Sus scrofa: one gene and its partners. The protein of the gene in region 2 binds, or shares a complex with, the protein of the main gene of each other region. Links are inferred from orthologs where the notes say so. Each region holds a gene or a part of one and is shown on either strand. Other genes may lie near its edges.

Evidence for each region. The genes of interacting proteins can lie anywhere in the genome.
Region 1: the proteins of CRHR2 (region 2) and UCN are in contact, whole or in part, in a cryo-EM structure (PDB 7TS0), measured with the Homo sapiens proteins. The link is inferred for Sus scrofa from reciprocal best matches to the Homo sapiens genes CRHR2 and UCN. Residues at the interface, in NP_001874.2 of Homo sapiens: Phe68, Asn69, Gly70, Val71, Tyr73, Ile101, Leu102, Asp103, Asp104, Arg107, Asp110, Tyr113, Leu117, Asn120, Trp166, Leu169, Gln170, Val172, Asp173, His174, His177, Glu178, Thr188, Phe191, Asn192, Phe199, Phe256, Gly257, Lys258, Asp265; in NP_003344.1 of Homo sapiens: Asn84, Pro85, Ser86, Leu87, Ser88, Ile89, Asp90, Leu91, Thr92, Phe93, His94, Leu95, Leu96, Arg97, Thr98, Leu99, Leu100, Leu102, Arg104, Thr105, Ser107, Gln108, Arg111, Ala112, Asn115, Phe119.
Region 3: the proteins of CRHR2 (region 2) and GNB1 are in contact, whole or in part, in a cryo-EM structure (PDB 6PB1), measured with the Homo sapiens proteins. The link is inferred for Sus scrofa from reciprocal best matches to the Homo sapiens genes CRHR2 and GNB1. Residues at the interface, in NP_001874.2 of Homo sapiens: Arg142, Ser143, Lys372, Arg376, Asp379, His380, Ser382, Val385; in NP_001269468.1 of Homo sapiens: Arg42, Gln44, Arg46, Arg52, Phe292, Val307, Ala309, Gly310, His311, Asp312.

What each region holds. Positions count from the first base shown.
Region 1 is NC_010445.4:111,832,861-111,836,432, reverse strand, and holds UCN (urocortin), read right to left. Parts: upstream 2,352-3,572; 5' UTR 1,566-2,351; intron 1,322-1,565; 5' UTR 1,309-1,321; coding exon 925-1,308; 3' UTR 501-924; downstream 1-500. Other genes in the region: protein Mpv17, read right to left, coding at 3,406-3,475. UniProt on the Homo sapiens protein: Acts in vitro to stimulate the secretion of adrenocorticotropic hormone (ACTH). Binds with high affinity to CRF receptor types 1, 2-alpha, and 2-beta. Plays a role in the establishment of normal hearing thresholds.
Region 2 is NC_010460.4:42,250,466-42,254,637, reverse strand, and holds the start of CRHR2 (corticotropin-releasing factor receptor 2), read right to left. Parts: upstream 2,884-4,172; 5' UTR 2,805-2,883; coding exon 2,718-2,804; intron 1-2,717. UniProt on the Homo sapiens protein: G-protein coupled receptor for CRH (corticotropin-releasing factor), UCN (urocortin), UCN2 and UCN3. Has high affinity for UCN.
Region 3 is NC_010448.4:63,954,715-63,958,788, forward strand, and holds the start of GNB1 (guanine nucleotide-binding protein G(I)/G(S)/G(T) subunit beta-1), read right to left. Parts: upstream 2,801-4,074; 5' UTR 2,779-2,800; intron 2,738-2,778; exon of another isoform or gene 2,716-2,737; intron 1-2,715. UniProt on the Homo sapiens protein: Guanine nucleotide-binding proteins (G proteins) are involved as a modulator or transducer in various transmembrane signaling systems.

The DNA of each region.
Region 1 (3,572 bases), on a different chromosome or scaffold from region 2:
TGGCTGCTCCGCTCCTGCCCTCTCCTCCGGCCACTGCCCTCTCTGCGGCATCAGGGATCGCGCGTGGCCCCCACGGGACACGCCCCCTAGCGCGCGGGCTGAAGTACAACTTCCTTGCCCACCATTCATTCCCTGGGGTTTGGAAGGCCAGGTTGGACGGGAAAGTGGAGGAGAGGCTTTCCTGGCTGGGGAAAGGGATTCAGCTGTGTTTCGGAGTTGCCCTGTTCCTTTGGAGCGCCTGCCCATGGAGCTTTCTTTTCCGGGCGCAGGACTGCACTGACCCGCCCCTGTTGGGGAGCCTGACTTTCGGGTGGTGAAGGATCTGAACGGAGACCACCGCGCCACCCAGCTCGGCGCCCCGCCGCGGGGGAGGGGCTCAATAAAGAGCTAATGCGTCCCCACCCGCGCTCCTTTCGCTGCTCACTCTCTCAGCCTCGGAGACGTTCGCATCACCTCCCGCCCTCTCCAAATCTGGGACCATTTGGGGAGCAGAAGTGGAATGAACCCCTATTGGGCATCTCCTTGATATCAGGCACAGATTCGCGAGCCCAGTGCCAACGGAAGAGGGTGGGGTGGGGATGCGGCGGTACTGGGGCTTGAGTTCCTAGGAGACTTGGGGACATGGGGACCACAGGAACCTGGCTGAAAGCCGTCCTCCCGGAGCCCTCCAGCAGTACCCGGTTCCCTCTCTCCGGTCTGGGCGGCCCCACTTTCCCACAGGTTCCCACCCTGCTGTGGTTCCCTGAGCCCCCAAACAGAGGCCAACGGCTCTTCAGCACTTTTATTAAAAACTAGTATCGTGGGGAGTGCTCAGGGCATCTCTAGGCCGCTCTAGCCGCGCGGGACTAGGTCAGTTCCAGTCCCTCACGCCCAGCCTGGGGGTGGGGATGCAGGTCGAGGGTTTCAGGCCCCAGACCCAGATGATCACTTGCCCACCGAGTCGAATATGATGCGGTTCTGCTCGGCGCGCTCCCGCTGGCTCTGCGTCCGCGCCAGCTCCAGCAGGGTCCGCAGCAGGTGGAAGGTGAGGTCAATGGACAGCGGAGGGTCGTCCCGTCGCGGCCGCTCACTTGCGGCCCCGGATCCCCACCGGCCCTGCCCTGCGCGGCGTGGGAAGCGCTCGGCCAGCAACAAGAGGAGGGCGCGGGCCCCGCTGCCGCCGTGCTTCTGCGTCCTGGGACTCCAGCGCAGACTCGGGTCCTGGACCCCGGCCACGGCCGCCTCTGGGCTCCACTGGCTGCTCCCCGGACGCAGCTGTGCCAGAAGCAGAAGGGCCGCCAGCAGCGCAGCAAGTCCCGCCGGCCTCATGGTGCCACCGGCCCTGGACACACAGAGGCAGCGCGGGGGTGAGGTGCGTCTGGGACAGTCGCAGGTGGCACCACTCCCCTTCCCGCGCACGTCCAGCGTCCCTTCCCTAGCGAGCCCCTGCGACTGCTGCCCGGAGCCCGCAGCCTTCCCTCCAGCCCCAGCCGCTGCCACCCTTTCCTCCCTCCCTCTTGGTGGTGGGTGATTTGAGCGCTGTCCCGGTGCTGAGGGAAGCTGGGCGGATGCTCAGAGCCACTCACAGTTTGCGGGAGAGCGTCTGCTCCGTGCAGGACCAAGCTCCAGTCTCTGTCCCTCGGGGCGGGCTGAGGGCGCCTTGGGGAACACGGGGTCTGTCCCGGGACCGCCGCCAGCCTTATATAGCGCCAGGACAGCACCGAATGACGTCAGCAAGGAACATGCACTGATTGTAGAGCAATGACGGCCGCGGCTTCAAGTCCGACCTATAGCGGCTGCGAGACCCCGAGCAGGCGCACCTCAGGGCACTGGACTTGGCATGGCTGGAAGTGACACCCGACTCAAGAAAGTGAGAAGCCGGGTTGGGGCATAAAGATTGCTCTGGGAGACACAGAAGCCCTTCAACCACTTAGGATAGCCAGCAGGGACGAGAGGCGGGTCCCCAGACCAGACTAGTCCAGATCTCTTCTCAGGCACTTGAAAGGCAGGCTGGACCTTGGGGCTGTCCGTGGTGCTGACCTTGTCCTCAGCCTCTAGAAGGGGCCAGAGGGGTAGGGAAAACGCTGCTCAGACCCAGTCCCTGGCTCCAGCTATCAGTTCTGTAAACAGAGCCAGTTGGGACAGCACCACTGGCACTCAGCTATGGCCATGGTACCCACCCAAGGGGCAGCTGAGGCAGCTTGAGCTGCCAGGATTCTTGATCTTATTCTGGCCCCAGGATCTAAATTCTAGGGCTGTCTGACTGAGGCACCATTAAAAAAAAAAAAAAAAAAAAAAAAAAAAGGGCCTCTGGACTCAGGGTGCTTCCGGGCAACAAAAGGCTGGTCCATCTGCTTCTGGGTTAGCTCCAAAGTGGGAGTTTAGCCAAGTTAATTTTCCTCCTGGGAATCACAGCAGCAGTAGTTATTACTTTATCTTTGACCTCCCAGTTAAGATCGCTGGGTAGGAAGAAAACTTGGCATCTTAGTCTGAGCTGCTTTAACAAAAGTTACCATAAACTGGGTGGCTTATAAGCAACAAATATTTATTTCTTACAGTTCTGGCGGGCTGGGAAGTCCAAGATCATGGTGCCACTGGGTTTGGTGTCTGGTGAGGACATGCTTTCTGGCTCAGAGATAGCACCTTCTTGCCATGTGCTCGCATAGCCTCTTTTGTAAGCATCCTGATCCCATGAGGGCTCAGCCCTCCTGACAGAACCACTTCCCCAAAGCCCCACCTCCTAATACCACAACCTTGGGCATTAGGTTTTCACCATATGAACTTGGGGAGTACACAGACATTCGGACTATACCTTGTGGGTTCAAGTTTCTACTCTGCCACTAACTCAGCATGGACAGGTCACCTCACTTCTACGGGCCTCAGTGTCCTCATCTGTAAAAGAAGATTGGGCTTGGTGGTCTCCAGGCTTCTTTCCAAGCTCTAGAAAATGTAGCCCCCCCTCAGCAGTTTTTTGCTGGGTCTTATTGCTTCTGCAGGTTCCAGGTTATCTACTTAGTAACATTTACAGAGGCACCATATAAAGGGTTCAAGGGGGTGGTCCCTCCAAAACTAGAGCTACACTAAGGCTGGGAAGGGTTTGGAAAACAGATGTGTCTATGAAAAGGAGGAATGAGTGACATTTACTGGGATGTGGGTATAAGCTAAAGTTGACAAAACCATATGGTTCAATAAATATTTATGGGATGCCTACTATGCGGTGGGTATAAAGCCATTATAAAGGTTTTAGTGATTTCACAGGAGTCAGGTTACGTTTTAGAGTGAAATGGGCATTTCAGAGGGCTAACTCCATCAAGTTCTGACCAGCCACCAAACCCTGTGAAAACCGATGTGCCCACTTTAAGAGGTGGTCGGACCTCCCAGGGTCAAGCTGAATGACTGCAAGGCAAGCGAGGGAGGGAGGCAGGCTTAGAGCCGATGTGCCTTCCAGGACAGGTAGGAGTTCCAGATAACAGCAACACACTGGACGACGGCCAACCTACAGAACAGGGATGGCATCATGAAGAAGAGGAAAAAGAAGGGGCAGGCAAGGGGGGTGAGATGGGAAAGGGCAGCGGGAAGACAGGGATTATCTC
Region 2 (4,172 bases):
ACAAAAAAAAAAAAACAAAACCAAAAAACCAAAATAATGGAAACGGACTCACAGACTTTGAAAACAAACTTATGGTTACTAAAGGGAAAACCTGGGGGAGGAGGGGTAGATTAGGAATTGGGGATTAACATCTACTCGCTACCATATATAAAACAGATAATCAACAAGGACCTACTGTAGAGCACAGAGAACCCAACTCAATATTCTGAAATAACCTATGTGGGAAAAGAATCTGAAAAAGAATGGATATATGTATGTGTAGAACTGAACCACTTTGCTGTACACCTGCCCCTACCCTAACACAACACTGTAAGGCAACTATATGCCAATATAAAATAAAAATTAAATTAAAAAAAAAAGAAGTCCCATCCCACCAGGACCCACCCTGCCCCTGGAGCCTCACAGCATCTCTTCTCAGGGCTGGGACTGCGGCCCTCCCCCAGCTTGCTCAGGACACCCCATCTCCACCTCTGCCATCCTGCCCACTTCCCAGCAGACTTCCTCCCAATCCAGGCAGAGGCTCTCACACCTGCACACAGCTGCTCTTAGTTCCCATGACCAGAGCTTGTAAATGTACACAGTTCTTCACATTCATTTTTTCCTGCCAGCGTCTCCTCCAGGCTATCAACTCCACAGGGCAGGGGGTGGGGTGGGGGGGTGGGCTGCTGTTTTCTCCCTTGTGTCTTTACCATGCACGATCCTCTTTAACTACTGGCTGAATCAAGTATTACTGAATAAATAAAAGGGCTGGAGGCCAGCCCCCGCTCTCACCCTGCCCCGGGTCACCTCCCTTCCCCATCACCCACTCAGGTCACTTACTTTCATTTCAGAAATCTCAGAATAGTTGGATGACGACCCAGGAATAAACCCTGTTACCACGAAGACCCAGAGCAAAGACGCCTGCATTTGGGGGCCAGAGACACTACGTTCCTCTCTAGCTGGTTGCGTCCTGAGGAACTTGGGGTGAATCACTAGTCTCCGGTCTCAGGCTGTCCAGGGAGGGTTGGGGGCAGGCCCTGGGCTGACTCTAAGGGGAGAGGAGGCTGTTGCCTCTGAGGTACCCAGGGTACCCTCCCCCAGACCCCTCCACCTGGCCAGGCTCTGGGGCAGCAACCAGAAGCCTTCTCCCTCGAACCAGCTTGGGCAGTTGGCATCACAATCCACAGAGGGGAGGGCCGAGGGGCAAGCCTGGCCCTAACAGCAGCCCTCTTGGAAGGCACCTATCCTGGGAACAAGTGGGTGGGGACCAGAAGAGCTCAGAGCCCAAGACAGGGGGAGTGGGAGGTGAGGGGGTGGGGGGGGGCACTGAGCTCACTCCACAGCCTCCATGCCACCCAAATGCAGCCTGCAATGTTATTAAGAGGACCTGGCATGTCTAGGAGCCACTGGGCCATCTGCCCATTGGGGTACTGACCACACCTCACATGGTGCCCACTCCTCCTCTCCACTTGACCAGACCCCCTGGGAGGGCAGGGCCCCCCCGTGTCTTCATCTCTAGTACCTGGCACAGAACTACAGCTGCATTTATTGAGCGTTTACTCTGTGCCAGGCACGGTGCTCGGAGCTTTCCTTCCTCGTGACAACCCTATTCAGGAAGCACCCAAATCATCCTCGTTTTACCCGGAGGAAACTGAGGCTGAGGAAATTTGAGTAGCCTGTCCAAGGTCACCCACTCAGCACAAAGCGGGGCTTTGAATCAGGTTGTTGGCAAAGCCGCTCTGCCACGGACAGTGGGCGCTCACTATCTAGCTGTTGAATGAGATGAGGGCTAAACGGAGGAGTCCTCTGTGTACATGTGGGGACAGGAGCAGGCCTGCTGGCCTCCAGCCTGGCTCTGTCCCTTGCACCGTATGGCCTCTGAATCCTTCTGATGTCGTGGTTCTTCATGAAAAGTGTGGCCTGGGACAGATCACCCTCCCTCTCTGAGCCTCAGTTTCCCCATCTGTAAAATGGGGAGAGGATTAGAGGTAGATTCCTCCTGTATCCAGTTCTGAAACTTGCTCCCTCCTGGCCTCACCCCCTCTTCTCCAGAGCGTTCTGTGCAGCTCCTTCTCCATCCCTTCATCCCTGGCCAATGGGTACCAGGTGGGGGTTGGGGGGACACCCACAGCTTTGAGAAACCTCTAGCAAGGTTGGTTTGCCCAAGCGCCCCCCGGCACCGTTGCTCATTTGCTACTAAGGGCTTCCTGGTTTCAGGTGCAGAGAGGAGGGTGGGGACAGGGCTGCGGGGGTTGGGGGGCAGCTCTCTGGTGGTCCTTTGCAGGGAACGGCCAGAACTGTCATGGGGTGAGGAAGGGACTGACGCTCCCGCAAGGGAGATGGAGTGGGATCCATGGGGAGGAGACAGGTGGACAGGGGATAGAGAATTTCTGGACCTGAGGCAGGGCATGCCCCAGACACTAGTGCGGCCCCAGAACGTTCTGCTCAGCCACAAGGGCTTCGGGGTCTCATCCCAGCTAGTGCGAAAAGTTTCATCTCCCCTCCACCTGCCCCTCACCCAGGGAGGACATCTCTAGTCCATCCCCGGATGCAGGGCTGCCCAACCCCATCCCGGCCACCGAGCCCTGAGACCTCCTCCACCCAGCTCCTAACAGGGTCGAGGAAACTGGGCCCAGGAACCAGCAGTGAGACCCCCTACGGCCTCGCGGTCAGGAGAGCACGGAGCTCCAGCTCCCGGCGCCCCCACCCTGAGAACAGACCCTCACTCCCGCACTTACTTTGAGCAGCGGCGGGAGGAGGCAGAGCAGGCAGAGGAGCGAGCGTGGGGCGAGGAGGAGGCGAGGGGGCCCCGTGGGACCCCCCATGCCCTCAGCGGCTGCTGACAGGAGCGCACCTCCAGCACAGCGGGCCCGCCCCGCCCGCTGCCCTCCCTCCCCCCTCCCCCTTCCCCTTCCCCCTCCCCCTCCCGCCTCCCCCGGTCGGAGCTGTGTCGGCCCCTCCCTCCCCACCGCGCCAGGCGGCCAAGGTAAGGCCTTGACCACTGGGGCAATCTCCCCACCTCCCTGGGCTGCAGTGACACCGCCCCGCAGCCCGCCCCCTCCAGGTTATTTATAACGGTGCCCCGCAGCAGCTTCTGCCCAAGCGGCCAGGGGCCAGACTGCCTCCAGCCTGCAGAAAGGGGTTAATGCCTCTTAGCGGCTGGCCAGCCACCTTTGCCAGGGCTGTAGCTACCCACGCCGGGGAGAGAGGAATTGAGAAAGGGAGGAGGAGTCTCGGCTGTGGTTGTGGCCAGAGCACACAGTGCCCCCGGGGCGGATCTCATCCCCTGCCAAGCTTTCCAGCCCTGCAGGCATCTTCCAATCGCCGGGAGTTTTTACCAGGCACCACTGCCTCTTGGGACAATTGAAATTTGATCTTGGAGGCCAGACTAAATAATAGTTTTGTATCCATGTTCAATTCCTGATTTCGATAACTGCATATTCTTAGGGAATATTTTTTAGACTAAAGGAAGACAATATAGCGAACTTATTTTCAGATGGTTCAGAAATACACACAGGAGTTCCCACTGTGGCTCAGCAGGTTAAGAACCTGATTAGTATCCGTGAGGATGCAGGTCCATCCCTGGCCCTGCTCAGTAGCTTAAGGATTCAGTGTTGCCACAAGCTGCGGTGTAGGTCAGAGATGTGGCTCAGATCCCATGTTGCTGTGGCTGTGGTGTAGACCTGCAACTGGCAGTTCAGATTTGACCCCTGGCCTGGGAACTTCCATGTGCTGCACGTATGGCCCTAAAAAAAAAAAAAGAAAAAGAAAGAAAGACACACACACAGCGCATACCACACACAGACATGTAGATGAGAGAGAGAAGACAAGAAAACAGATAAGATAAAATTAAATAACTGGTAATGTGGGCAAAGGGTATGTGGGTATACTCTGGATCTTTCTTCCAACTTCTCTGTAAGTTTGAAATAATATGCTAACAATATATTTGAAAAAAAAGCAAAAAACAACCACAACAAATGCAGCAATGCCAGGCCCCACCCAGAAGTTCTGATGATGTAGGTTGGGATGGGGCCCTGGCATTGGGAAGTTTCTGTACATTTCACAGGGATCCGAATATGGGGCAGTGCTGAGCAGCGTCCTCTCAGGAACAGGTCCAGCCTGGGGCTGGGTCAGGCTCAGGAGGTGTGGCCTCTTCTCTGGGAGCCAATGAAGCAGCTGCTGGGACTGTTCTA
Region 3 (4,074 bases), on a different chromosome or scaffold from region 2:
GGGGGGAGGGAAAGTGAGGAGAAAGGGGGAAGGAGGGAGAAGAGGGAAGAGGAGGAGAGATGTGAAGGTGGAGGGGCAGGCCCAGCAGCAGAGCAGAGGAGGGCCCTGGGCAAGCGGTCTCTATGGGGCAGCTCTGCGGTTGTGGGGGTGGCAGGAGACCTGAGGGGCCCTCAGGACCCTTCTGCCATTCTGGGTCCCTGCATGCCCACCTGAGAGCTGGCCTGACTTGGCAGCAGGAGGCCTGGCAGGGTAGGCCCAGGGCTCCCCATGCCTCAGGCTACCACTGGCCTGGCCAGGCCCATTCCCCGTTCCAGCAGGGCTGCAGGGCAAGGCCAAGCACGAGGACCCCAGGCCGGAGCCTGCCCAGCTCTCTAAGACCTTGGGGTGCAGCCTTGTGGCCCCTAGCTAATCTGCAGGGCGTGGCAGGGCCTTGCCCTGTGGCCAGGGCCTGGAATCCTGTTTATGTGTTTATGGACTGGGTGTGAGGGGCAAAGTTGAGGGGAAGCCAGGAAGGAACAGGGGACCCTGGGCCTTTATTCCCAGTTCCCTAGCAGCCTGAGGCCTCATCCGCATCTGGCCCCCAGGTGTCAGGGTCCCCAGGTGTCAGAGCCCTAGACACCTGCCTGGGGCCTTGGTCCGCTCTCAGGAGCCCATGACAGCTTCTGGTTTCTGGCTGGCTGGGGCCCCATGACCTCAAGGGTCTGGAGGAGGCTCTGGGGCCCCGGCTCTCCCTGCCCCACCCTCCAGGCCTCTGGCTGTTCTTGGCCCCTACCTGCGACCCAGCACGCTCCTCGGTGGGGTGTCAGTCAGGGTGCTTTCAGGCAGAGCTTGCGCCCAGCCAGGAGCCCAGGCTTCTCCTGACCCCCGCAGAGAACCCTGGCTCTCTAGACAAATGGCTCTGAGACCAGCCTGTGGTCCGTTCAGCCTACTCAGCAAGGGCCCGGCCAGCTGGGCCTGAGGGGACAGTGCCTGGCTTGGTGCCCAGCCCTCACTAAAAACCTGGGGAGCAGAATGCATAATTCAGATGCCCCTGCCCCATCTGCTCTGCAGCAGGAAGAGCTCTGACGGGAAAGTAGGTCTCTTAAATCTGAATTATTCAAACAATCTGTGCACAAGGCCAGGACCCCCTCCCGGGGGCCACGCTCCAAGCCAGGCTTTTAGGGTCTCAGAGCTGCAGGGGGCGGTGCCCACAGCATCTGTCTTGTCCCACTGAGCAGCGTCTGCTTCTCCACCCAGGGCCATCCTAACCTTGCTTCCAGTAAGTGCGCCTCCAGGCCCTGGAGTACGAGGGCGAGGACGAGGAAGGGGGCTGGGCGGAAGGTAGGTGATCAGAGCCCGAGTTCCCGTGGGCCTCCAGAGGCAGGCTTGGCCAGTAGAACGGGCCACACAGCCAGGAGGCTCCCGGTCCTTCTCTCAGCACAACTCCCTGGGTGGCGCACCCACCCATGGCTCCCTGGCAGGGGCAGGCCTGTTGGGGGCACGGGAGAGCAGGGGCACAGTTCGATGGGGGGTGCCCAGGGAGGTGACAGTCAAGCAGACCCCAGGGCAGGCAGCCTCAGAGCCCAGGAAGGGGCCAGGCCGAGGTGGACGTGGCCAGGGTAGTCAGGGCCCCAGAGCCCAGGACTGGTGTGGCAGGCAGAGGGCACTGCATCCGCCTTGGGAAGGGGGATGGCCTGGGCCCCCTGGCCGCCAGCCGACCTAGAAGGACCTCTGCACACCTTCCCCTGGGCAGTGGAAGCAGCAGCCCCTCTCTCTCCAAGGGCATGACATGTCCCTTGTCCCCAAGCCCCCCATCATGCTGACCTTCAAGCCTGTACCCACCTTTGGTCCTGAACCAGTCATCCCTCGTGGGGGACACCAAAACGTGGGGGGGCCATGGCCATGGGGCTTTGGGAGTGCCACGTGGGGTTGGAGGAGGGGCTGCCCCGGGGTGGGCAGCTTGTCCCCCCCCCCCAGATTTGGGGCCGACACCCTAGGGAGGTCCAAGCAGCCTCCGGGCCACTCCCAGAGGGGCAGTCCTAGGTGGGCTAGAACCCGGGACCAGGTGGCCTCAGTGGGGGCCCGACAGGGGGCCACTCTGCTCTGGGGGTCCCTGAGGAGCAGCAGCCCCTCTGCTGCAGAACCCTGACTGCGGGGTTGGAAAGCCCGCCTCCAGCAAACCTCCACGGGGGCTTTTCAGTGTCCTGCCTGGACACACACCACCTACCACACGCCACCCCCCCATACCACACCCCCCACATACCACACCCCCCCCACAACACACACACACCACATACGCCACATACCACACATGCCACATACCCCCCCACACACAACACACACATCAAAACCCACATACACACACCCCACATACACCACATACCATACCACACACACCCCACACTGCACACCACATGCCATACACCACACACACACACACACACACAAGTTGGAGCAGCCAGCACTCAGGGTAGCAGCTTAACCAGCTCATCTGTAAAGGGGTGATGACAGGCTCAGGGAATGAGCAGACCCTGGGCCTCAGGCTCAGCCGGATGCAGCCAGGCCGCTGGGGCTCCTGCTGGGCCAGCCTCCTGCCCCCAGCTTCGCAGCCACGTGCACCCGAGACCCCAGCATGGTTCTGAGAGGCCTGGGCTCGGCTTTCCCGCAGCCCTGGAGGCAGGCTCTGGGGGCCCACGGGCCCTGCTGGCACGACCCGAGCAGAGGAAGGGCTGTCACCTGGCCGTCAGGAGGGGAGGCTTCGGGACAGGGAAAAGGCAGTGGGGCGGCCCCCAGGCCGACCTGCCGCCGGTCCAAGGCCCTCAGGGCCGGGTTCTGGCTCCCCCGCCGAGGCTGGGCAGCTCCGCCTGAAACCGGATGCTGGGGGCAGAGCCGGCACGCAGGGCGGAGGGCGGCAGGTCTGCTCCGCCCGCCCCCGCAGCGGCTCCAGGGCCTCTCAGGCGGGCACCGAGGGCGCCCCGAGGGGCAGCCAGCGCGGCCGCCCGCCCAGCCCCCAGCCCCATTTCCTCTCCCGGGCTGGGCGGCGCCCTTGGCAGGGAGGCCGCAATTGTTCGGCGCCGGCGCTTCCCCCAGCTGCCTGCACAAGGCCAGGCCGCCGCCGCCCGCCCAGTCCGGAGTGCAGCCGCCAGAAACGCCCTCGCACATCCCGGGCCGGGCGGGAGCGCGGAGACCAGGACGGAGGGCGGGAGGCAGAGACCCCCGCGCCAGCGCAGCGGGGGGGACGATGGGGGGGCGGGGGGCGGGGGCGGGGCCGCGGGGAGGGCGGGGGCGGGGCCGCGGGGAGGGCGGGCCCTGGGGCCCCCCACCCCCTTCTCCCCAGCCCGGCCTCAGGTGCCACCTAGAGGCCTGGGCACAGACTCAGGGAGGAGTCCCTGTTGCCAGGAAGCTGGGACCCAACCCTCGCTGGCCCAGCGTACCCGGGCAGCAGGCTGGCTTGACAGAGGGTTCTGCCTGCACCTGCAGCGGCAGAGTAGGGGAGGCCCGGGCCGCTGCAGACAGGGGCAGGGGCTGGGGGCTGGGGCGGGTAGCTACAGGAACCATTGGGAGGGGAGGGCGCTGCTGGCAGGCCGCTGGACCCAGCCCCACCTCCCACTGCTTAGGGGAGGCTGCTCCTGCTGTTCTAGGGATGCCTCTCCCCGCAGGTGGAGCCGTGGGACTCGGCTCCGCCAGCACCTGCCAGATAAAGAGCTTGCACCTGTGACCTCAGCGGCGGGGAGGGAGCCGGGCGACGGCGCAGGGGCTGCCTGTGGCGCACTGCCCTGTCCAGACAGCAGGGGCCGCCTGGGGAGGCCCCAGAGCCTGACTGGTGCTCAGGCCAGGAAGCTGGCCTGGGGTCACCTGATACGAAGTCGCCTCCCAGGGCCATTTCCTGCAGGCAGGCAGCCACTGAGCAGACGGGAAGGGATGTGGGTCCGCAAGGCCGCCAGGCCCAGAGCTGCCCTCCCGCTTCGGGACCACTGCCAGGCCACATTACATGCCATACCGTGTCGTGAACCGCCGCAGGACACCTGCCCCCCCAGGCCACCCAGGTGTTGACACGGGGGCATAGCCCAGCCCCCAGAGTGCTTGGCAGGAAGG